4 linked regions of the Caenorhabditis elegans genome follow. Changing the gene in region 2 together with the main gene of any one other region gives a genetic interaction. Each region holds a gene or a part of one and is shown on either strand. Other genes may lie near its edges. The genes, in order: mbl-1, daf-2, exc-7 and ifg-1.

Region 1 (4,617 bases), on a different chromosome or scaffold from region 2:
CTATTAAGGTCATGATTTTTAACTGGTAAAAAAGTAAAACCAAAACTTTTAGTTTAGCGCCTAATGAATTCTATTTCATGTTTTTCACAAAATTATATTTCGCTGAAACAAAGACATTCAGTTTTTCATTTACCCCCCCCCCCCCCCCCATCAAGATCATTTGATCTGGAATCGGCAGTTAATAAAGATAAGAATCGACACTACAGTAATCTTCAAAATAAAACCTATCCTATCTAAGAATCTAAAACTGGAACAAAAATCAAAATCAGTACCTGTTTCCATACCATTTCACCGATGTGAAAAATGGAAAACGGTTTTTGATCGTGCCACTCAAATGAAATCAAACGAGGACAATGGAATGCATAATAGGGGGGGGGGGGGGGGGGAATTGATTCATATACAGTACGCATATATAGTATTACTGATTTGTATATTCATTTGAGGGGAAAGAGGAAGGTGATTTGTGTATGTGACAGCAGACAGGAAGATAGGTAGAACAAGAATACAACACATTTGACTAGAAACATTGAAATGGCGAAACGAAACGAGGAACGGAATATCTTCTCATTCGGTTGCCCCGTCATTTTTTTTCTCGTTCACAAAAGGAGTGAGTCGTGAAAAAAGGTTTTGAGAGACGTCTCTAGAGAGTTTCCAACACCACTTCCACTTTCTAATTATGCACTCATTGTTTTGCTAAGCTGTTGCAGAAAATTTTGTGGTAGGATTATGAAAGGATCATTATGACTCAAATTGCAATTCTTTGATGGTAAACTAAACTGGATTTGGCTAAAAAATTTTAAATGATCGAGTAGCTTTCAGAAATCGTCCAGCAACACAATGTCGCAAAAAGGAAAGAGCAAGTTCAAAAACCTTTTTCAAAATGATTCCAAAAGTTTTCATGTTCGTTTTCAAGTTTTGTCGTAGATTCTCTTAATGCATTAGTACGGACCAAAATTAACTTCAGCTGCGCATCACAGAAAGTTATGCACTATGTCAGCGCAAATTCGCTCTACGGACCAAATCCAATTATTTATGAATTTATAGAAAACAGTACAAAAACTTTTTGTTAAAAGTTTTGCTAAAACAGTTTCTTAAGGTTTTCGAGTCAATTTACCGGGCGTTGGCTAAAAGTCTAACTTGCGGAGACGCAGTGAACAGTTTTTCGTGGCACTTTCATGATCAGTTGAAAAACACTAGCTTAACAGTCCATTGATTCTTGTATAAATGCTAATTTAGAAGAAATACAAATTTTGGACCATGGATTGACTCTACTCTTTTGAATCATTACTTTATATCTCGGTTCATTTTAAAGATATCAATAATTTATTAACTACGAAAGAAAAAGAACAAACAATTATTCTGTTAGTTAACAAATTTTGAATAGAACAAACGATAGCTGAGATATAAGCTGTCAATGTTAAACAATGGGGTGCAATACTAATAGAGCACATATGGTAGCAAAATTTTTTTAACTGGCAAATTAATAGGTTTCCGTTTTTAAACAGTTATTATAAAAACACATTGTCAACTATTTTAGCCAAAGAAAAGACGCACCCGTTACAAACTTAATTTAACAAATGAATAAAAAACTAGCTTTTCGTACACAAAATTAGAATGACTAACGATGCACTATATATCAAAGAAAGAAAGTTGAGGGGTACCGACAGATGTATATTGGAAAAAAAAGTACAGTTTGTATTGTTGGAATGTTACGTTTGTGGACAGACAAAAAAATGTCGTGCTCGACGTCAAAGCAAAACATTTTCTTTCATTTTTCTCCTGTGAAAAATTTCAGGTAAATGCAGAGAGAAAGAGATAAAAAAATAGCGTTTTAAATATGTAAAGATGTATGGGATATTTTGAAAGTGCTGATACTGTTTTTAATAATTGAAAATTGTCTGAAAATTGCTCTGAAAAATAGTGAAGTACTTTTCTAATAAAACGCATAAAAGTCATGCATAAAATTGTCATTCATAGTGTTGCTCAATAGCAAGATCAGAAAATTTGTTGAAATAAGTCAATCACACATTTAAAAAGTAGTGATTGTTAACAGTCAAACTTTCAAAATTTTCGGACCAAAAATCAGGCTCGAGAATATGTTTTCAAAGGTTTTCAAAGGTTTTTTTTTTTATTTTAGCATTATAGCAGTTTAATTAATTTTCCTTACTGACAAAATTTTGCCTTTAAACCTAATAATAGAAAGCGATACAAAGGCAAGTGCATATTCATAGTACCAATTCGTGCAGTTACTTCTTAGTAACTTTAGTATCAAAAAATTAAATACTAAAATCAAAATAATAGATGAAGTACGGCAAGTTGAAAATGATTAAAAACCATTCCTGTAATCCAAAAGTTACTAAATATGTAGCAAAACTATTTTTAAATAAAATTTTTTATTTCGAGTCTAAAAATGTTGGAAACTTATCTTCTATCAATTTTTAGAAGTCGAAGAAGAATTTTTAGAAAAAAAATTCCTACGAATTTTGTTTTTTTTTTGCGGAAATTGTTGCAAATCAATATTTAAATACGGTAGGGATTCGAATATGCGGATTCAAACATGTGAAAGTTTTCTCAAAAAATCTCAAACTTTTCTGTAATAGCCATTTTTTGACTGTCAATAAATCATTCTCAAATAAAACATTGTTTTTCTATGATAATTGGCTATTTTTGCCAACATTTCAGTAGTTTCAACATTTTTTTCCACTGATAATAGTTTCAAAAGTACTGATGTAAACTTTTTTTGACATTTAGCTGTTACACCAGGAAAGACAATCATTCTTCAAAATTAAACAAAACTATATGTTTCGATTGCCCTTTTTTCTTTTCTACATGTGCGCAACACCTGGTGCTCTGTCAGAACGTACACTTGTGCCGCAACCTTTCACGTATGTTTGACTAAAAAAGTGATTCACTCACAGTTTCTTGGTCGATTCGAGCCTTCTTGAACACCGTCCCCTTCTTATTTTGTCGCCTGATACGTCTTTTTAAGGATCTACGAGACATTGCTGAAATTGAGAGGAAGATTGATTAGTCATCAGCAGCCAACAATAACCAATGGATTTGTGGAGTTGCTCGAAAAAATGCTCGTGATTATATTTTCTCGTTGGGGGACGTGAAAAAAGCACTCTTTGCGTTGTAAACTCTTATGTGATAGATATGTGATAAGTTTTAGCGGTATGTAGGGTAGGAGGGAGGCAACGAGAATAATGGGACGTTGGGAGTAGACGATGAAAAATGATAATGGAATTTTCAAGAGTTGAGAACACTTAAAACTACTAACAAGATTAAATGGGTTTTTTTGGCGGAAATTGGGTAAGTTTTTGAAAACTTGAGATTTTTAACAACGACTAATTTTTAAAGATATTCAGACTTTTGGAAGAAACTTATAATGTTTGTAAGATAATCTTTGAAATACATAGGCTACCACAAGAAAATTGATTTCATTTTTAGTGAAGCATTTGTTGAAGGGCCATTTAAAAAGGTTATTTCCCAAAAAAAAACTACATATTTGAAAACTTTAAACAGATTGATGTTTTTATTTTGCAAGATGTGTAATAGTGTATTCTATACTAATAGAACTGATATATATATTAGAGATTGTAAGAATGCTTTCTGAGCATTCTTACAATTTTGAATGAAAAATAAAAAAATAAAAATGATGTTTGCCTGCAAAATTCTGCAAAAAAATTTGCCGTTAAAAAAATGAATTCGAAAGTTAATTTCTCAGCATACACAAAGACCGAAAATTAAATAATTTTTTGAAACTCGAATTAATTTTTCAAATCAATGGTTCCTGTTTTTATACAGAACAAATGCGAAACTTCACAACAAAAGTACACAATTTAAAAACCAAAAACCTGATGTTTCCCAACTGGGGGAAGTGTATGCCTGTCTTCGGCTGATTTATGACTTGACAACGTGTGTGCGCTACTTGCTCACACGTTGTATTGAAACGTGACTTCAGAATAGACACAAGGAATTAATCAGCGCATAACACAGCTATTATGGAATGATGATGAAGTTGAAGGTGGAGTAGCGTAAATGAAAAACTTGTTTTAAAGTACCGAAAATAGTCTGCAATTCACGATAACCACGAATTAACAATGCAGAAAAGTTAAGAAAAAAAATTAAATTCAAAAAATAAAATATTTTTTTCCTTGAAAAAAATTACACTCAAAATAAAAAACTGCGTGGCGTGTACTGCAGAAAACCTAATATTCTTTTTCTCGTCCACCCACGGAGAAAAGACAAAATTCGGGCCCCAACCAATATCAGGCCGCCGACATATCACGGGTTCCGCCCGCCGCTATGTTTAACTCGCAACGTGACAGCTCGCCATGACCACAGCGAGTTAAACGCTGCGGCGCGCGGAACCCGTACGATGTCGGCGGTCTGATATTGGTTGGTGTCCCGAATTTTGTCTTTTCTCCGTGGGTGGACGAGAAAAAGAATATTAGGTTTTCTGCAGTACACGCCACGCGGTTTTTTTTTATTTTAAGTGTATTTCTTAAATAAAGTGTTTATCATGATGCTCTAAATTATTCCAGTCATTAGCTTGCCTGTTGGTCTGTTAATTTAAGGCATTTTTGCTAAAACTGAGTAGTATTTTTAAATGAT
Region 2 (4,556 bases):
AGATTTCTGGCAAAGTCGGCAATTTGCTGGAATTGAAATTTCCGGCAAAATCGGCAATTTGCCATTTTTCAAATTTTCGGAAAATTTGGCATTTGCCCAAATTGAAAAATTTTAAATTTTCGGCAAATCGGAAAATTGCCGGAATTGAAAATTTCCAGAAAATCGGCAAATTGCAGAAATTGAAAATTTCCGGCAAATCGGCAAATTGCGGGAATTGAAAATTTCCAGCAAATCGGCAATTTGCCGGAATTGAAAATTTCTGGCAAATCGGCAATTTGCCGGAATTAAAAATTTCCAGAAAATCGGCAAATTGCCGGAATTGAAAATTTCCAGAAAATCGGCAAATTGTCGGAATTGAAATTTCCGGCAAACTGGCAATTTCCCGAAACTGAAAATTTCCGGCAAACAGCAAAGTCGGCAATTTGCGGTTTTCCAAATTTTTGGCAAATTCTGCAAACCGGCAACTAGTCGATTTGCCGGAAAAACGGCAACTGCCGAAAGTTTCGGTAAATTGTGGGTTTGCGTAATTTAAAAAATCCCCTCAAAAAATCCGGCGAATTGATATCCGGCAAAATTGCCGGAATTGAAAATTTCCGGCAAATCGGCAAATTGCCGGAATTGAAAATTTCCAGCAAATCGGCAATTTGCCGGAATTGAAAATTTCCAGAAAATCGGCAATTTGCCAAAAATCGGCGTTCAAAAACTGACAAAAAATTCAGAATAAATTGCGATTTTTTCAAAGAAAAACCAAATTTTGACCAATAAAAAAATTCTGAACACTGTCAATTCCATATCATGTAATAAAACAACGAAAAAAAATGCATCACATGACCTAATCTTTGTCATTTTTCATGAAATCGTTGATTTTTGGTCATTTTAGAGGTGTTTTTGGTCGAAAAAATCAAAATTTTTGCCAGATTTTGAATAGATTTCATGAAAAAAAACGATTTTTATAGAGGATTTGGTGTCAAAAAATTGTGGAAATTATTAGATTTGGGGAATAAAAATCCAATTTTTTTCAGATAAAAAATTAAAATCTAAAGCGAAAAAATGGCCAAAAAATGGCCCAAAAAATCTACATTTTTGCCCATTTTTCTGGAGTTTTCCCAGAATTTTTTCGGTTTTTGGGGTTAAATTTCCGGGAAAACATAATTTTTTTAATTTTTTAATTATATTTTCGGAATTTTACCGCCAAAAACTCATTTTTAATGGCAAAAAAACATAGAAAAATGGTTCAATCAATTGAAAATTTCAATTTTGTCCAGAATTCAATTTATATTTAATTAATATCCAATTTTTCACATTTTGGTAGTTTATTTACCATTTTTTTTTTGATTTTGGCCACAAAATGTACCTAAATTAACAAAAAAAAGTTGGTAAAACTGGAGATTTTAGTGAAATCTGGGGGATTTTCCGGGATTTTTTTTTCGGTTTTTGGGGTTAAAATTCCGGAAAAAACTCAATTTTTTCAGTTTTTTATCGAATTTTCGGCATTTTAACGTCGAAAAACTCAATTTTAATGGCAAAAAAACATAGAAAAAAGAACGAAGGGTCAATTCAAATGTTTTCGCGTTTCGTTTTTTGATCTTTGAGTTGTTGTTGTTGTACCCCATCCGCCGCCGTTTTTTTTTTCAAATTTATTTTTTTCCCGCCAAAAAAACCTAAAAATCAATAATTTAAACTATAAAATAGCAAATTATTACGATTTTTAATTGAAAAATTGAGCAAAAAATTGACATTTTTTGTAAAATAAACACAAAAAAACCAATTCCCACGTGGCACAGATTGTTTGCTCATCGTTTGTCGGTGTACTTTTTGGAAAATATTTATTTTTAAGGGGGTATTTCTGATTGAAAGAGCGAAAAAAAGCGAAAAATGAGTGAAAATTTGGAAGAAATCGAAGAAAATTGGGCTAAAATTCGATTTTTTTCGCAAAAATTTGATTTTTGAGCCAATTTTTTGTAATTTTTTGTATTTTTTTTCACCAAATTTTGCTGAATTTTACTTGAAATTTTAGAATTTTGGATTATAAAATCCAAAATTTTTCGATATTTTTTGCAATTTACTGGTCAAAATTGCGGAAAAATGGTTCAGAAATTGGCGAAAATGGGAATTTTCATCAATTTTAAAGCGATTTTTGGTTATTTTTTGAGATTTTCCCTAAAAATCTCCAAAATTCTGCCTAAAACATCAGAAAATTCGTTATTTTTATTGCTAAATTGCTGCAAATGGCCCAGAGATTGACCGAAGTGTGATTTTTTAAATAAATTTTTATCAATTTTTATCAATTTTAAAGCGAAAAAACCAATTTTCACATTAATTTTGTTGGTTTTTAACGAAATTTTTGGGATTTTCTCGATTTTTTGTGTGATTTCGCTAAAAATTGTGTGTATTTTTAAAACAAAATCGCTTAAAATCGATATTTTCAAGTAATTTTTTCAATTTTTAATTGCTTTTTTGAGCAAATTTTGTGGTTTTGTCTGTTGAAATCTTTTAAAAACCTTATTTTTCTCGATTTTTTCCTAGATTTTCCACTTTTTTTCACGAAAAACTTCGAATATCCGTTATTTTTTCACAAAGGCAGCCTAAAAGTGCATTGAAAAGACCTTGAAAATGGTCAAAAATGACGTGAAAAGATCCAATTGGCACCGTGCCAAGACTATTGCAACAAATTCGGCGTAATTTGAATTGGATAAATGGAATTTTACGGGCGGAAATTGGGAAAAACTGGAAAATGACGGGAAAATCGTTCTGTGAGCGAAGAATCAGATGGTTTAGCAGATTTTTAAGGTTAAATTTGATAATTTAGACAAAAAAAAAGACTAAAATCGGCTGAGAAATGAAGAAAATAGCAAAAAATCGGTGAAAAATCAAAAAACCCGCCTGAATCTCCCTATTTTTACGATTTTTGTGGGAATTTTAGTGGAAAAAAAGAGAAAATTACTTACTTTTGTCGAAAAAATGATAAAAATCCGTGAAAAATAGCTGGAATATTGAGAAAAATCGAAGAAAAATGTGAAAAACGAAATTCAAAAATCAAAAACGAAAGCGCGGGTACGCAAACACCGCTGCACACATTCGCAGGTACAGTACCCCGGGAAAATGTTTAAAATCAGTTAAAATGTCGATTTAAAGCTTTTTTTCAATGGAAAAATACAGTTTCTACATTTCATAAATTGAAAACTTGAATTTTCAGTTCAAAACATTGCAAAAATGCACAAAAAACATCTCTAAAAATGGTGAAAACTCTAAATTGACAATGGAGCGCACTTGCTACTACCAATATTTTTTGCAAAAAAAGCGACATTTGACCGGTTTGAACTCTTTTGAACCCCACGAAATTAGGGAAAAACACCAGGAAAACAAGGCCGAAAGAAGTAAACAACATTTCCGCCATGAAAAAGATAGAAAAAGATGAAATCTGATGGTCGTTTATCATCTTTTAATGCACTTTTACTATTTCTACACAGATTTCTATAGAGAGGAGGCAATGTCATTGATAGATATCCTTATCAATTAATCCGCCGATATTATTTGGGAACATTCAAGAAACAAAGAAACTAGGAAAAATAGAGAGAAAAACAAGAATTAGAAGGTTTGGTAAAAAATTTAAAATTCGAGAATGACGTCACTACATAGCTCCTTCGTTTCTTTGCATAACTCTAATTTTTGATCAGAAAAGTGTCAGAAAAGTTTCGCGCCATTTGCGTAATTATTTTTTTTTTCTCAAAATAGCAGGAAAAAGGAGGGAAATTCGACTTTTTCTGCCAGAGGGGAAGAGATTCGAGATTCAGCTTCAATTTCCAGGTCGTATATCTAGGCACGTATCTCAGCGGGAGAAATAGTTACAAAAATGTTGTCAATGAAGTACTTGTAGAGCTCAAAATTTCCTACAATTCACTAGTGGAAAATTTTTTGCTAACACTCTTCCTCAATGAGATAAACGGCCGTAAATGAGGCTCTGCCCTTCGCGCGGTTTCAAACTCAGCACAGCTTGGCGCTTATTTCTCTGCGAGGGAGAAAGTTACAAAAAATTTGTTAACTAGCAATTTGTAGAGCTTCATATTTGCCACAATTCACTAGTGAAAAATTTTTTGCTAGCATCTTTCCTCAATGAGATAAACGGTCGTAAGTAAGGCTCTGCCGCACTGACCTTTCGCACTTTGCACAGCTTGGCGCTCATATCTCTGCGGGGAAAAAAGTTGCCAAAAAGTTGTCAACTAACAACTTGTAGAGCTTAAAATTTTCTACAGATTACTAGTTTGGAATTATTTGCTAGCACCTTTCCTCAATGAGATAAACGGTCGTAAGTAAGGCTCTGCCGCACTAAGCTCTCGCACTCACCACACTTAGACGCGTGTACCTCAGCGAAGAGGAAAGATAATAAAAAGTTGTTAACTAACAACTTGTAGAGCTTAAAATTTGCTATATTTTTGTGTGAAAACAGTTTTTCATAACTCTGCTCCACACAGATATACACACATTTAAAATTAGATTCACAAAGTCTTGCAAACCTAATTTAGCACTCCTAAACTGTAAATCAGCAATTTTTTTTG
Region 3 (7,744 bases), on a different chromosome or scaffold from region 2:
AGTTATTCCAACGGAAAAATTTATTTGATGAATAGGAAGGGAATGTAAGTTAACAGGTAAGTTTGCTCTTTTTTCTTTTATAAAATTCGTTTGTTATTTTGACTTTTGAAAATTAAAATTAGGAAATTAAAAAAAAGTTATTTAGAAATTAACATATCTCAAAAGTGAAAATAGTAATTAGGTGTTTGCAACATCTTAAAAAGCACATTTCACAATTAATAAACTTTCAATTAAAATTGCAATAAAATTACGGGGGAAATTTTCAAAATGTCAATTTAAAATAATAATTTAATTTTCAGGTCCGTTGTTTTTCATTCAGGTTCAATCGGTTAAATATCAATTCCAGTTTTTAACATCTCATATCATCGATTGGTACAAGTTCTTCCAATCAGAAAATCGAGTTCAGTTTTAATCATCAGCTTTGTTCTTCTTTTTTCTATAAAATAAATTATTTATCACTGAAATTGGTATACAATTTTTATTATACACATTTTAGTTTTAATATTTCAAAAAATCTTTGTAAAAGAAAAACAAGGAACCCAGTATAAAAATCAGAAAACTGTACGAAATACTGAAAAGTGACGGAGGATTTGGCATATTTTAGGTAAAATTGATAAAAGTTTTGAAGATGTTAAAGCTGATTCAAGGTTTTGGGACAGGGGTGGGCAGAAGCTCATTATTCTCAAGGGGCGTGGCTTATTTCGTTACCGGAATTCGATTGGTTTTGCTCACAGTTGCTCATGAAAGGGGATGGAACACAATGGGGGGGGGGGGGGGGTGACTAGTAGCACACAAAAAGTGACTGGAATTTCAGAGGGGGAAAATCACAATTTCTTTGGTTGGGGAAGAAGAAGAAAATGAAAAGAGAATGGGAGACAAGTGACTGGAATGATTGAAATTAGAATATTTTTGCAAAAAAGTTTAAGCTCGATATGGAGTTGATGACTTGAAAACTACTTGAAGCGTCTTTCCAGCCAAATTTGTGCCATTCAGAGAAAGCATTGCATTATAGGCTTCTGTGTAGTTGCTCATCGATACAAATGCATATCCTTTGCACTGTTGTGTCAGGTCTCGTAGAATCTCAAATATTTCAAGTAAAAAATTTTCCATTTAAAATTTCTTGCTTACCTTAACATTAACAATTGCTCCAAACTGTGAGAATAACTGCCATAACAGTGTATCATCAGTATCTGATGAAAGATTATATACGAAAAGGCAATATCCAGCAGTATCTGATGGCGGTAACGTGGCAGCAACTGAAGCTGACAATGCAGATAACTGAGCATGAGCTGCTAATCCAGCAACTTGTCCATTTGTTGCCGGAGGGCTCGCTGTTTGTGCAGCATGTTGTTGAGCAACTGCGTGTTGTTGTTGCTGATGCGCTATTAATGAAGCTGTGAAATCAGGTACGGCTGTTGCTGTGGCAAAAGGGTTCAGGCCAGCAAGAGCATTCAACTGAGACATCTGAAGAAGCGCAGAAGTTGTCAAATAGTCAGCAGGAAGTGTAGCGGTTGGCTGGGATACTGCAGTGATGGCGCCCATTGGGGAATATCTGAAATATTGGAAATTGGTCTTGAAAATGTAAAAAGAAGAATATACAAACTTGAAAATACAATTATTATCAATCAAGATTTCTTCGGGCTTACCTGTACTTTGAAGTAATTGGAGCATGGTGCATCGGTCCGATTCCTCCAGCAGTTGCTCTCAGCGTCGGTGCTCCAAGAATTGTGCTCAATGGTACCAGTGTTGTGGCGGCTTGCTGTACGGCTTCCAGATCACTCAGCAGTCCTTTCGGATTGTTACTTGCTGGATTATTTGCGAATTTCACTGTGATTTGCTCTGAACATCCTGATGGAATACTTCCATTTAGTGTTTTAATTGCAACATCAGCTTCGTCTTTTTTGTCGAAACGTACAAATCCAACGCCTTTTGAGAGTCCTGAAATAGCTCTAATAAAAAATGAAACAAATTATATTCCGTAAACAATCAACTATATTTTTCTTAATTTTGAAAATTTACACATTTCACATAATTTTAAAAACACACCAGTTACATTATCTGACAATATTCGAGATGTGATAATCTGTCCAAATGGCCGAAAAATCGATTCCAATTCGTGCAGAGTCATCGATTTTGGAATTCCAGAAACATATAAGTTTGAACCTTTGATTTGATCATTTGATGGACGGGCATATGATACCTGAAAATTTCAAGTTATAGATTACAATTTTAATATTCTAAAATTTAACTTTGTATTTTTACCAGTGAATGTTTTTCTTTTACATATATGAAGAATGCGAATTTTCAAGTAAAAATATAATTAAACATTTTCTAAGCGTTTTGTGCACATCTATTGCTCCTATTAGTGATTGTTTGAAAGACGTGAGACGTTTAACGGACGTTTAGACACACATTTAGAAGCTAAAATCATTATAAATCGGGAAAGGGGTTTCGCGAAATTAAAGTTGAAATTAAATTTTGAAATTAAAATATTAAAATAAAAAGATTGAAAACTTAAAACAAAAATTGCACAACAGGAGCAAGGGGGTGTTTTCTAATAGTCAAAGGAACACCCAAACAATTGAAAAATTAAAAACTTTTTTTGAAAATAAAAAAGAGTGAAAGTAAAGTAAAAGACAAGTAGCATGTAAATCAACTAAAAATAATAATATTTTTCCGAAAAAAAAAAAAAAAAGTTGACACCTTGATCGTCTTATTCTGCAATCGTAGGCCATTGAATGAGCTGACTGCACGAAGAGCATCCTCTTCTCGGACGTAATTAACAAAACCGTAACCAAGGGACTGTCCTGAAATGAAAAAACACCAAATGCCGAAGAGAGAAGAGAGAGAAAGAGTGTGAAAATATAACAAAAGAACAATTATTTATAGGTTACGGGTTTAGATTTTCTGATTGTATTTGTAGAGCTCTCTTTCTGAAAAATAATCTCCCTACATCTTTTTGCTACAAACAGTTTGCTGCTTATTCTAAATTAGTTCACATGATTTAATGGTATGAAACTATTCCAAAAAAGTATTTAGATATCACAACTTTAGAATTTTAACAATCCCTATTCAAAAATGTTTAGCACAAAAAGTGAATGTGAATTCTTGGTGTACAATTGTGTGTGTGTGTGAGTGATTTTGAAAAAAATAATGAAAAGTTGAAACGAATATCAGAACATCACGGAAAAAAGTAATAACCGAAAAATGAAAAACTTTAGGGGGAGTAGGGCGGGCGGGGCAGCAGCAATCACACACGCACACATGTACAGATTTACAAAAATCGATCCGAAAGAAGAAAATAAAATTATTTGTGATCTATCAGAAAAGAGGCGTCAAAATCTAGTTTCATGCTAAACTTTTTCGGCGAGACACAAAAAACGGTTAGAGCAACTCAATTCGTGGTTGGGAATCAAAAATCAGTCAGAAATAAAAATGATAAGGCAAGGGGTGATCTAGCTAGATAATGTTTGGATTTCGAAAATATATAAGTTTAAAATAAAATAATGAATAATATAGAAGTTCCTCCTCACCTGTTACTTTATCTCTGACCAATTTACAAGATTCAATTTCTCCGATCGATGTGAAAAGGGACCGAACTTCTTCTTGTGTCATTCCTTGTGGCAGATAATTGATAATTAAATTTGTTTTTGATTCTCCAATATCCACATTTGGCGCGGAGCAGTATCGTTGTGTACTTGTGTAGGTTGTCTGCAAAAAATATAAATTTAAAATTTAAAAGCGATTTTTGTATAATGGTCCCGGTTTTTCGAATGAAAATCTACGATTTTCAGATGTAAAAAATTCTGAACTCCCTAGATAGAAGTCCCGTTTTTGTCAATTTACATAAATAATACACCTCGTATATTTTCGGGTGCCTAGCATTGGTGAGAAGCGTCGGTAACCCCGGAAATTGTTCATTTTTTTCATTTGGGAATAAATAAATTATTATGTTTTTCTGCCATCTTTGTCCAATCTGACTATATATTCCATTTTTGGAGGTTACATCTGACCCAAAAATATTTCCCCTATGATTTCCAATCTTTCATTCCACCGGGAGATCTCAATTTTCAATTTCAATTCTTTTCTCGCGCGCGGGAGGGCTCTTCGGTACAAGTAACCGGAGAATTCATCCATTTCGCTGTCCATTATTTGGCCACGTCTCAAATTTCCTGTGCGTGAGCAAGTCTATATGGAAGAGATGGAGCCCCCCGCATGTTCTTCCCACCTCCTGGTGTGCTCACTGGAAGAGCAACAATACCCATGGGTATTTGAGAGGGAATAATGTATGAAATGAAATATATGCAAACGTTTTTTTCTACGCTGTTGGAATGAATAGACTTTAAGAGTTTTTTATAGGATCTTTGATTAAAGAGTTCCATATGCGTTTTATAGAAATAAAATTTTGAACCGTCCGGTATTGAGGAGGAACGTAATTTAGCAAAACTGTGATATAAATTCTAGTAGATTTCGAATTGAATTTTCACAAAATTTTAAAAGTTTTTAAATTTTAATTTATAGGTCTTCTATCAATTTTTTGAAGAAACACTTCAAAAAAACTGAAGAAAATCGCTGAGTTTTAGAATATTCCATATATATAGTACCTCTAGAAATTTAAATTAAAAAAAAAACTTCGTTTCTACCAATTTCATTAGTCATATATTGCACAATTATGATATTGTTAATTCAGCTATATTTTTTCAATAATCAAAAAACTTTTTAGAAAAAAAGAAAACAATTTTCAACAGGAAATCTAAAAATCTAGTATTCTCTTGTTATTTTTCAATTTTTCTCTCCATATTTTAATTTTCATGTCATTTCCACTCCCATCCACCAACACCACAACACATCATCATAATATAGGTGGATGAGCACGCAGGAATCTGAGCTTCTGAGCTCTTTCACAAAACAAATATTTTTATTTTTGGTCCTTATTCCTCCCTCATTCCTCCCTCAAGGCGTAATGAATGGGACGTATTTTCGAAAAGGAGTGGTTCGGAAAGGCGGAGAAAAGAGAAGAAGAGTAAGGAAGAAGGCTTCTCGGATTTTGAAAAATTGGCATTTGGGAATTGGGAAGCTTTCTTGAAAGAATGACACGTCAAATGCACACGCATGTATACCAAGTTTGGACTCGGGCTCACTGACGGATTGGACATTGGGGAAGAAACAATATTCAGATTTATGGTTATTACTAGAATTCAAGGCTCAACAATTTGTTTAGCTTTTAGATCTGAACGGAGCCTAAGCATCCAGTTTACCTAGTCCGAATTTTAAACAACTGTCATGATCAGGTTCTAAAAGCTTTTTTTAAACTTTTAATTTAACTAATAAAAAAACCATTCACAGTTAGAACCTGTAACAAACTTACAGCTCTTCAAAATTACCGCAGTTTACTGTTCTACTTTTAAAATGTGTATCTTTGCTATGGTTCTATATTTTATTAGTTGAATTTTTGTTGATAAAATCTTAGGCAACCAAAATATGAAATGTTACAGTCGAGTAGATTTCTGGACTTTTTGTAGACCTCAATGTTCAAAGATTTTGAAAACCGTATTTATTTTTGTTTTTTTTTTCTACTGCTTCTGGACTTTCATATAGATCTTTCCTAATAAAAATTGAAAAAAAAAATTACCTGAACGGGACTCGTCGGAACATTGTTGTTATTCGGTGTTAGCAACGCTTCCATCGTCATTTTGAAGACCGAATTTTGGAATTCAAAAATTCGAATTTCCTATCCAAAAATGCGTCGTTCGTTGTCTTCTGAAGTTGACACACCACCACTTCTTCCACTTGGTCTGTCAGGAAACAAAAGAGGGCTCTTTTCAAAAAGAAAGAGCTCCGGTTGTTGTGAGAGCAAAGAGAAGGAAGAGGAAAAGGGGCTCAGGGGGGCGGGGGGCCCGTCGCGAGGATATATGTAGAAATATGCACAAATGGGCGTGGCCTATTTATATTTTGTGTATGTTTGTGTGCCGCGGCTCCCCGTATATGCTCCGTTCGTTTTGGGCCGGCCGAGACTAGGGGAGATGGATCTGTAATTTCATAGGTTTGATAATTAATTTAAAAAAACATATCAGAGAGCAAGAAAAATAGAAGTGAAATAAAAGTAAATGGAAAACGTTTAATATCAGTGAAACTTTACAGAACTAGTTGTACACCATGATTTTTCACAATCCTACTCCACTCAACTGAAGCTGCAGAATTATGGCAGCGCACAGCATGACATACCTATACTCTGCCACTCAATTCCCTGTTGTTTTCAATTCTAATTAGCTTTGTTATTGGTTTACATAGACGCATGAATATATCTCATTGCCAATGAAAAGAACATTTATTGTTTTTATTATTGCTGGTATGATGCTTAGTTTCTAAATACCTGTGTATGTGTGTAACAGGTAAAATGGGAACTGTACGGATTATGAGGTAGGTAAAGTTTTAAAAAGGCAGATAAGAAGCCGAAAGACTAGGAAACAAGAACTACTAGAAATTGCAGGAAACTTTCCACAATCTATATAAAGGAATTCAGTTGTATAAGATTTTGGATCATGTGCTCAGACGGAAATGAAGGAAACAGGTGAACTTGACACATTATATGGATACGTATACACGCCAATTACGGCTTGAATAAGTGTATAGTGAGGGTCCAGACATTACAAGAATACAGTGTGAAAGCTGAATTTCATAATTTCCAACATCATAGAAAAAAGAATAAGAGCGCATCATGATTGAGGATTTTTGTGAGGGCAGGTGTGGAAACAATGGTTGATCAAACATGACTGACCTGGTTAGTGAAGGATATAGGGGAAAAGGATTGAAGATGACACGTATTTGAATAGGTGTTCGGTAAGAGGGAATACGTGAAGCCCGGTGGAAATTTTGTGGCTCTGGGAAGTTTGAATTTTTAAAGAAACGTAGGGGCTACGAAAGAACGAGTTAAATAAACCTATAGAATACCATCAACCATTCTACAGTAACCCTGTTACTTGCTCCGATTCCAGTTTTCTTGAACTGGAAACACTCCATCGCAAGTTTGCACCATCTAGTCAAGAAAATATCCAAATGCTTCTGCAATTTTGCAACAAAAAAAAAGGATTCCGCTGATCTTGAGAATATCCCAAAACCTGTCTAAGCACAAAACTTTGGCAATTGGTCACTATGGAATGCTAGGAAACAATAAAAAAAATCGACATCATTGTCATCTCAAAATAACTACCATAGAAACGGTGATCGACGATGAAACGCACTCTTCAATTGTGGTTTTCCATTAGTCCTCTTCTTCACCGCCTCTCGTCCCACCCCATACAAATACACACGACACGCACAGTTGAATGAACAACAAAACCTGAATAGGTAGAGAGGGGGACTCAATTATGTGTTAGTTAGGTAGAGGGGGGTGGCCCCCATATTGTTGTGTGAAAAGTGGTGCAGAGGAGAGGGCGGCCGGATGAGAGTACGTACCCCCGCGTCGGCGAGATTCATAATTGCTCAGGCCCTTTTACAGGATACAGTATTTCATGCCTTCGATCCGTTCCCAATAATTAGGTATGGCCCTTCCATTTGGACTTTTGGTTTGAGATAAATGACTACTAAGTACTTCAAACTACATTTAACCCTTGCGATTTTGGACTTTTCGGGAATTTCGGATTTAGGGGTTTTCGATTTCACAAATCACGGATTCAAAGACTGTAAAGTTCAAAGCACGGTCAATGGAGGATATTTTCGAAAGTTTACTGCAAAACTTGACTTT
Region 4 (6,177 bases), on a different chromosome or scaffold from region 2:
GAATTGGAGAAAGATAATTTTAAATATTTGGAAACTTCGAATTCATTTAATCAATTATTTCAGTTTCATTTTATGAACATTTCTGGATTTTGTTACAGTTGTATTTTCTATTCCCATCTAATAATACGAGAGGAGAAAAATAAAACAATGTTCAAATTTGTAAAACCCCATGATAGTTTTTTTTTCAGATATTCTTACTTTGTTCCGTTCATCATTCCAACGAAACCGGATACAGTTCTCCATGTTATCCATAAATCAACAGTAATTTCCAGCAAGCCAAACTTATCGATTCCAAAGCGAGGAATTGTCCAGGATTTCCATGATTTGAGTGTTAATTGTTTTTGATATCGTGTTCTGGAAATTGGAATATTCAGAAATTTTCTTCAATAAACTTTAATTAACGTACTGGCACTGAATACACATAACTTGTTGTACAGCATTCGCTTTCGAAAACCACATGGCCAGGCATTGATGATGAACCCACTGAAAAAAAAGTTGGAGTGAAAAACTAGAATTATTCGCGAAAATCGAACAGTTTCTCAAGGTTATAACAAAAATTTTTCAAGGTTCCTGAACTTTCCTAGTTAATTTTAATATCAATTTTCGCAATATTTATTTTGATTCGATAAGCATATTGATTCATGTATCTCTTTTTTAATTTAACACTCATAAATTTAATTTTTCTATTCAATAAGCATAAAAAACATTTTTCGAATATGAAATCTCACGTGAATAGATCCTCGACATCGACACGGATGAACGAAGCTTAACGCATTATCACTTTCCGTTCCGAAGCAGAATTTACAATATTTCTCGGTTTCCTGCTCATTTCCGTCGATTTCTAACGCCATCTTCCGTAACGGTTTGTTTATTTGTTTTTTTTTAATATAAAATCTGATTTCCAAAGAGGAAACCGGATTTCTTTGGTAGATACTTGAAAAGCGATGTGATGAGGGAGAAATAGCGTGCAAAGAGAGGAGAGTTGTGTCGATTTACGCGAGTTGGAACTATGGCAGGCAACTTGTCGCTACGAGACCCATTGTCTCTTGGCTCAGCCTAAATTTATATCGATTTTTCGGAAAAAAACAAACGTTTTGTTGTTTTTTAAACTTGATTTTTGTTTCATAGGTTCAAAATTTTAAATTTCGATCAATATTTATTTCTTCAATGTTTTGAAATCAGGCATTTCGAAATTTATTGATTTCCGGTTGCGAAATTGGTTAAGACTTTGTTTACTTTCTGTTCTGACTGGCGATATCTTTGGAATTTACTCATAATTTTTGTTAAGTTCTTACAGATTCACACGGACTAAACGTAAAACCACTTCTATGCGATTGTATTTTATAGTTTTCATCGATCCATGTAATTTCTCTCGGTGTGCACGTTCTTTAAATTCTGTCGATACATGCACATCTTCTGCTCTTGAGTATGAAGGAGACGATGTGCAGTCATTTTTTATTGTTGACATCACCAGTTTAAATAATCGATATTCTAAACGCTGCGTTCTGCACTTTTTCTGTTCTTGCTATCTGTAGAGAAAACACTTTTACCTTCACTCTGCTCTTATTTTGAAAAATAACGTTATTCCTCCTCCCTCAATTTCCCCTTCTCTAATTATTCTCTATCGTTTTTTATTTTATTAAAACTCTTTTCAGTGACTTCCTCAAACTGAAAGATTATGTCAAACGCTGTTAGTAGGGGGCCTGGGAGAGGGAAGCCGAATCAAGGTAAGTGCTCACGGTTTTTGTCAGTTTTCTAATTCCTTCAAGGTTTTCATTCAGATCACAATGCAGTTCCTATGCAGGATTCATCCCAACAATTCGTGATGCCATTTGTTAACACATCTGGCCCAGTGAACTCAAAGTAAGAAGTTGAAAATATTTTCCATGGCTAAAGTTCTTTTTCAGCTATCAAAGAATGCCAATGAACCAGTCGGCGTATCCACAATATGGCCAACAACAATACAACCAACCACAAACAAATCACTATTATCCGCCACAAGCACCACAGCACCAGCAACAATAGTAAGTTTTTTTTTAAATATTAAATATATTTAGCTTATCATTTCCAAAATTTTACTCACACTGAAAAATAAATTTTCTTAAAAATATGAGTATCCCAAACGCTTACTTCTGTTACCTACCAGTTTTTCATGAATATCATTTTCAGTGGTGGATATCAGCGACCGGACTATGGTCATCAACCACAGATGTACAATCAACAGTACCAAGGCTACCAAGCTCCTCAGCAATACCACCCAGAAATGCCATATCAACCAGCTCAGCCAGCACAACAACAGATGACTCATACAGCTCCACAAGAACCTAAACGGCAAAGGAAAGCACTGGAAATTGTCGATCCAACTACGAAAAAGGCAATTGAAGTGACGCCTCATCTTGCACCAGCTGCACCAGCGCCAGCGGCTCCAGCAGCCCCGATTGCCCCAGAGGAAGAAAAGAAAAAACAAAACATTACTTTAGAATTCTTGAATCAGGTCAAAAATGAACTACATCATGAAGACAGACGACATGATAATCCTCCTGCGGTCCCAGCTGCGGTCCCAGCTGCGGTGCAAGCTGCTGTACTTCCCAATTTTAGCGTACCACCGCCAGCCCTGGGACAGACACCTCCAGCAGCATCCATAGCTCCACAAGTTGTACCGTCCGTTCCGAAAACTCCAGAAGCACCAGCAAAGGCTGATTACGAAGTAAAACAAGCAGAAACCCTTGTGACGCCTGTTTCATCTCCCCATGCATCAGACACAACCACCACTACGCCCGCCAGTGGAACTGCAGAATCAGCATCTACTGTAGCTGATGTCAGAGTTACTCCAACACTGACAAAGGAAGAATCAAAAGAGGAAACTGATGATGATAAATTTGAGGAGAATGATGAAAGAGAAAGTACGCCAGACGTTGCTGACTCTTCTACAGAAAAGACTCCTGAGGAGCTGGAAATCGAAAAAGCACAGAAAGAAGCCGAAGAGATTGAAAAGAAAAAACTTCGCGAGGAAGCTTTAGAGAAAAGAATCGAGGAGCTTATCCTGGCCGGAAGTGCTGTCATCTCGGATGGAACTTTTGGAAGAGATTTCATGGTTACTATTCGCGAAATTGAAAAAGTTTTCTCTCGGACCCCATGTCCACTGTCACCAGCTCAGCTAGCTGATTTCGGATTGGATATCAAAACGATGCGAGTTTCTGATAATAAGAAGCCTAATTTCACACCAAACTGGGCAAACAAAGGAGGAAACCGCCAGCAGGTTGTAAGTTATCATTATTTAATAAAAGCCATAATTCAAACAATATTGTATTTTCAGCCATACCGTGGAAGAACAACCACAGATGGAACCGGGCGTGGCGGTCAGCAGCAAAGAGATCGTATGCACAACAAGCGACCACCAGTTGTTAGACCTTCGATTGAACGAGTTCAGAGAGTTACACTTCCATCATCGAAAGATGCATGGAAGCCAGACCGTCAAAAAACCGCGGAAGCTGTTGCAAGCGAGGAAGCTGCGGTTATTGTAAGTTATTCGTGATTAATCAAAACTATAAACTGTTAAACCAAATTTCAGGAAGTTTGTAAGAAGGTTCGGTCTCTTATGAACAAGGTGACGCCTACATCACAACGTCCTCTCACCGAAGAATTCATTTCCTACAATGTATCCTCCAACGATGCGCAGCTCGCTCAAGTTGTCGAAATCGTCTTTGACAAGGCAGTTGAAGAGCCAAAGTTCTGTGCTTTGTACGCTGAAATGTGTAAGGCTCAGGCGAATCATGAACTATCCCAGACCGGCGGAAAGTCAGCCTTCAGAAATAAGGTTTTGACTCGGACGCAGATGACATTCCAGGATAAAAAAGACATTGATGCAGACAAACTGGCAATCATCGAAAAAGAAGAAGATCCAGTGAAAAAGGAATTGATGCTTGCAGAGGAGAAACAGAAATTTAGACGGAGAAAGTTCGGAGTTATGACGTTTATGGGTTATCTGTATAGAAATCAACTTTTATCCACAAAAATCGTCCAAACGTGTACATTCGAATTGTTCAATTCGATCAAGGACCAAGATATTAAAAAAGAGGATGTCGACGAGGAATCTATTCACTGTGGTCTTCAACTCATCGAGACTGTAGGCGTGATGTTGGATAAATCAAAAGATTCCACGACCGTATTCCTTGATCAATGGTTCCAGAAGTTGGAAGCTGCCAAACCTTACTGCTCAAACAAAATCCGTTTCATGATCATGAATCTTATGGAGCTTCGCAAAGACAAATGGATTCCAAGAAAATCTACCGAGTCTGGACCGAAAAAAATCGATGAAATTCACAAAGATATTCGTCAAGAGAAGATTGAAAATGAGAAAGCTCGTGATCAATATGATCGGGATCGTGATCGTCGTCATGGAGGTGTCAGACCAAACAGCAACTCTCTCAGAAAATCAGTTCCAGTCTCCAGGAATTCATTGGATAGGAACCGAGGAATGCAACACCCTGAACAAAAAAGAGCCGCTGCTGCAGCTAACACAAAACTTGCCTCATCGAGTAAGTATTTTCAGACAAATATTTCTTCAATATTAATTAATTGCAATTTCCAGGTGTTCAACCCAAAAACATCTCGCTCTCTTCGATGGATAATAATACTCTTGGGAAGAGCAAAAAAGAGTGGCATTCTGGTGCTTCTGGTGGAGGAAACACTTCTTCCGAATCTGCCGTTCCAGTCAAATCAGCTTGGGGGCGACGTGATTCCAATGATCAACGCAAAAAGTCGACTGTTGACGAGAAACAGGCCGCTTTAGCTGCTGCAAAGGAAATCAGTGCAATGTCAATTTCTTCGCGGCGATCCACATCACAAAATTCGAATACTGACAAGACCGACGATGAGCTGACTGAAGAAGAGAAAGCTGTCAGAGCCAAGATTATGAATACCGTTAAATCCGATCTTCTAGAAATGTCTAGTGGTGAGCTCTCCCAAAAGGAATTGGTTGACTCTATCACCGATTATGTTGGAAAAGAAAAATACGGTTCGCCGTCATTGACAGTAGTCTATGAGATGATTATCCGAGCTGTGATCGAAAAAGGTTTGAAGGATGATGATCGAAAGAAGTTGGCTATTGCTCTGCGGATGTCATTGGTCAGCAAGACTGAGAAGCAAGCTTTTATAGAGGGGTAAGGCAAGAGTTTATGATTTATTGAGCTTTACAAATTATTTCAGAGCTACCCGTTTCTGCAAATTCGCTAATGATGTTGAGCTCCAGCAAGATTATCCCAAATTGTGGACCGTTACTGGTGAAGTTCTCGTGAACACAAGTCATGCTCCACATGACGAAATTGGAGAAGTTGAATCTTTCTCATTAGCGGACATGAAGCCAATTTTCTCAGCTGCCAAAGGAGAAGGAAATAAGAAATTTGACCTTCTTGTTCAAGTTTTGAAGCAATTGGTGAGTTATTGCAAATTTTAGTGCTCAGATTCAGTACATTGCGTTTATTTTTTTAATTTAATTTTTTTCAGATCGAGCTTGAGCTTGAAGTGACTGGCGCTGCAGAAGGAATCTCGTGGGAGTTTTCGGACATGAAGTTAAAGACTGAGATGGAAGAAGGACTTTCAGCAGAAATGGAAGCAGTGACGTTTAAAAATGGAAAAACGTTGTCGAGCTATTTGACGGGCAACTAATTTATCGTATTTTTGGATTTTCAAACTCCACAGTAGATTTATAGAGAACTTTTTTGTGTGCTAAAACCCATTTTAATTATCTATATAAGAACGAGTTGTTGATAATACGGTCTAAACATGTCAAGTTTTTCGTTTTTTCGCCGCGCGTCCATCCCTACCGATTTTATGTCTTATTGGGTATCCCATTAATGGTTTTCGATATTATTGCTTGTTTTTCTTTTGTTAGAGGTTTGCAAGAAAAGTTTCAAAATGAATAACTGATTATCATGATTTAGCTGAAGTAAATCAATTTTCAGACATTCAGATCATTTTTCCTGCAAACTTCCGCTCATTCTACAACTCGTCTCGAAACGTGAAGATTCTCTTCATTTTTCGTTTCGAGACGCAGAAATCAACTCGTTATAGCCCCTTTCCCACCCACCTTACCCTTTTCTTCTGATGATCACTAAAAATATCACGTTTTCCTCCAAATCATTAAATATTTATATCCTCATTTGGATTCCCGTTTCG

What was found.
Region 1: of daf-2 (region 2) and mbl-1, changing one suppresses a phenotype caused by changing the other (phenotypic suppression), as found in Caenorhabditis elegans (one study listed by BioGRID).
Region 3: of daf-2 (region 2) and exc-7, changing one suppresses a phenotype caused by changing the other (phenotypic suppression), as found in Caenorhabditis elegans (one study listed by BioGRID).
Region 4: of daf-2 (region 2) and ifg-1, changing one enhances a phenotype caused by changing the other (phenotypic enhancement), as found in Caenorhabditis elegans (one study listed by BioGRID).

The regions. Positions count from the first base shown.
Region 1 is NC_003284.9:16,976,994-16,981,610, reverse strand, and holds the start of mbl-1 (Muscleblind-like protein), read right to left. Parts: upstream 3,004-4,617; coding exon 2,917-3,003; intron 1-2,916. UniProt on the Caenorhabditis elegans protein: Binds to RNA with repeat sequences 5'-CUG-3' and 5'-CCUG-3'.
Region 2 is NC_003281.10:3,037,834-3,042,389, forward strand, and holds the start of daf-2 (Insulin-like receptor subunit beta), read right to left. Parts: upstream 3,014-4,556; 5' UTR 2,949-3,013; intron 1-2,948. UniProt on the Caenorhabditis elegans protein: Insulin receptor-like tyrosine kinase which regulates metabolism, controls longevity and prevents developmental arrest at the dauer stage.
Region 3 is NC_003280.10:9,574,256-9,581,999, reverse strand, and holds exc-7 (RRM domain-containing protein), read right to left. Parts: upstream 6,030-7,744; 5' UTR 5,693-6,029; coding exon 5,633-5,692; intron 3,712-5,632; coding exon 3,534-3,711; intron 2,808-3,533; coding exon 2,704-2,807; intron 2,201-2,703; coding exon 2,047-2,200; intron 1,939-2,046; coding exon 1,647-1,938; intron 1,553-1,646; coding exon 1,129-1,552; intron 1,081-1,128; coding exon 922-1,080; 3' UTR 465-921; downstream 1-464. Other genes in the region: Membrane-associated tyrosine- and threonine-specific cdc2-inhibitory kinase wee-1.1, read left to right, coding at 1-35.
Region 4 is NC_003280.10:8,215,576-8,221,752, forward strand, and holds ifg-1 (MIF4G domain-containing protein), read left to right. Parts: upstream 1-1,678; coding exon 1,679-1,727; intron 1,728-1,769; coding exon 1,770-1,863; intron 1,864-1,907; coding exon 1,908-2,024; intron 2,025-2,169; coding exon 2,170-3,262; intron 3,263-3,316; coding exon 3,317-3,520; intron 3,521-3,571; coding exon 3,572-4,538; intron 4,539-4,591; coding exon 4,592-5,162; intron 5,163-5,208; coding exon 5,209-5,434; intron 5,435-5,505; coding exon 5,506-5,667; downstream 5,668-6,177. Other genes in the region: M110.3 (E3 ubiquitin-protein ligase MARCHF5), read right to left, coding at 199-354, 407-483, 729-851.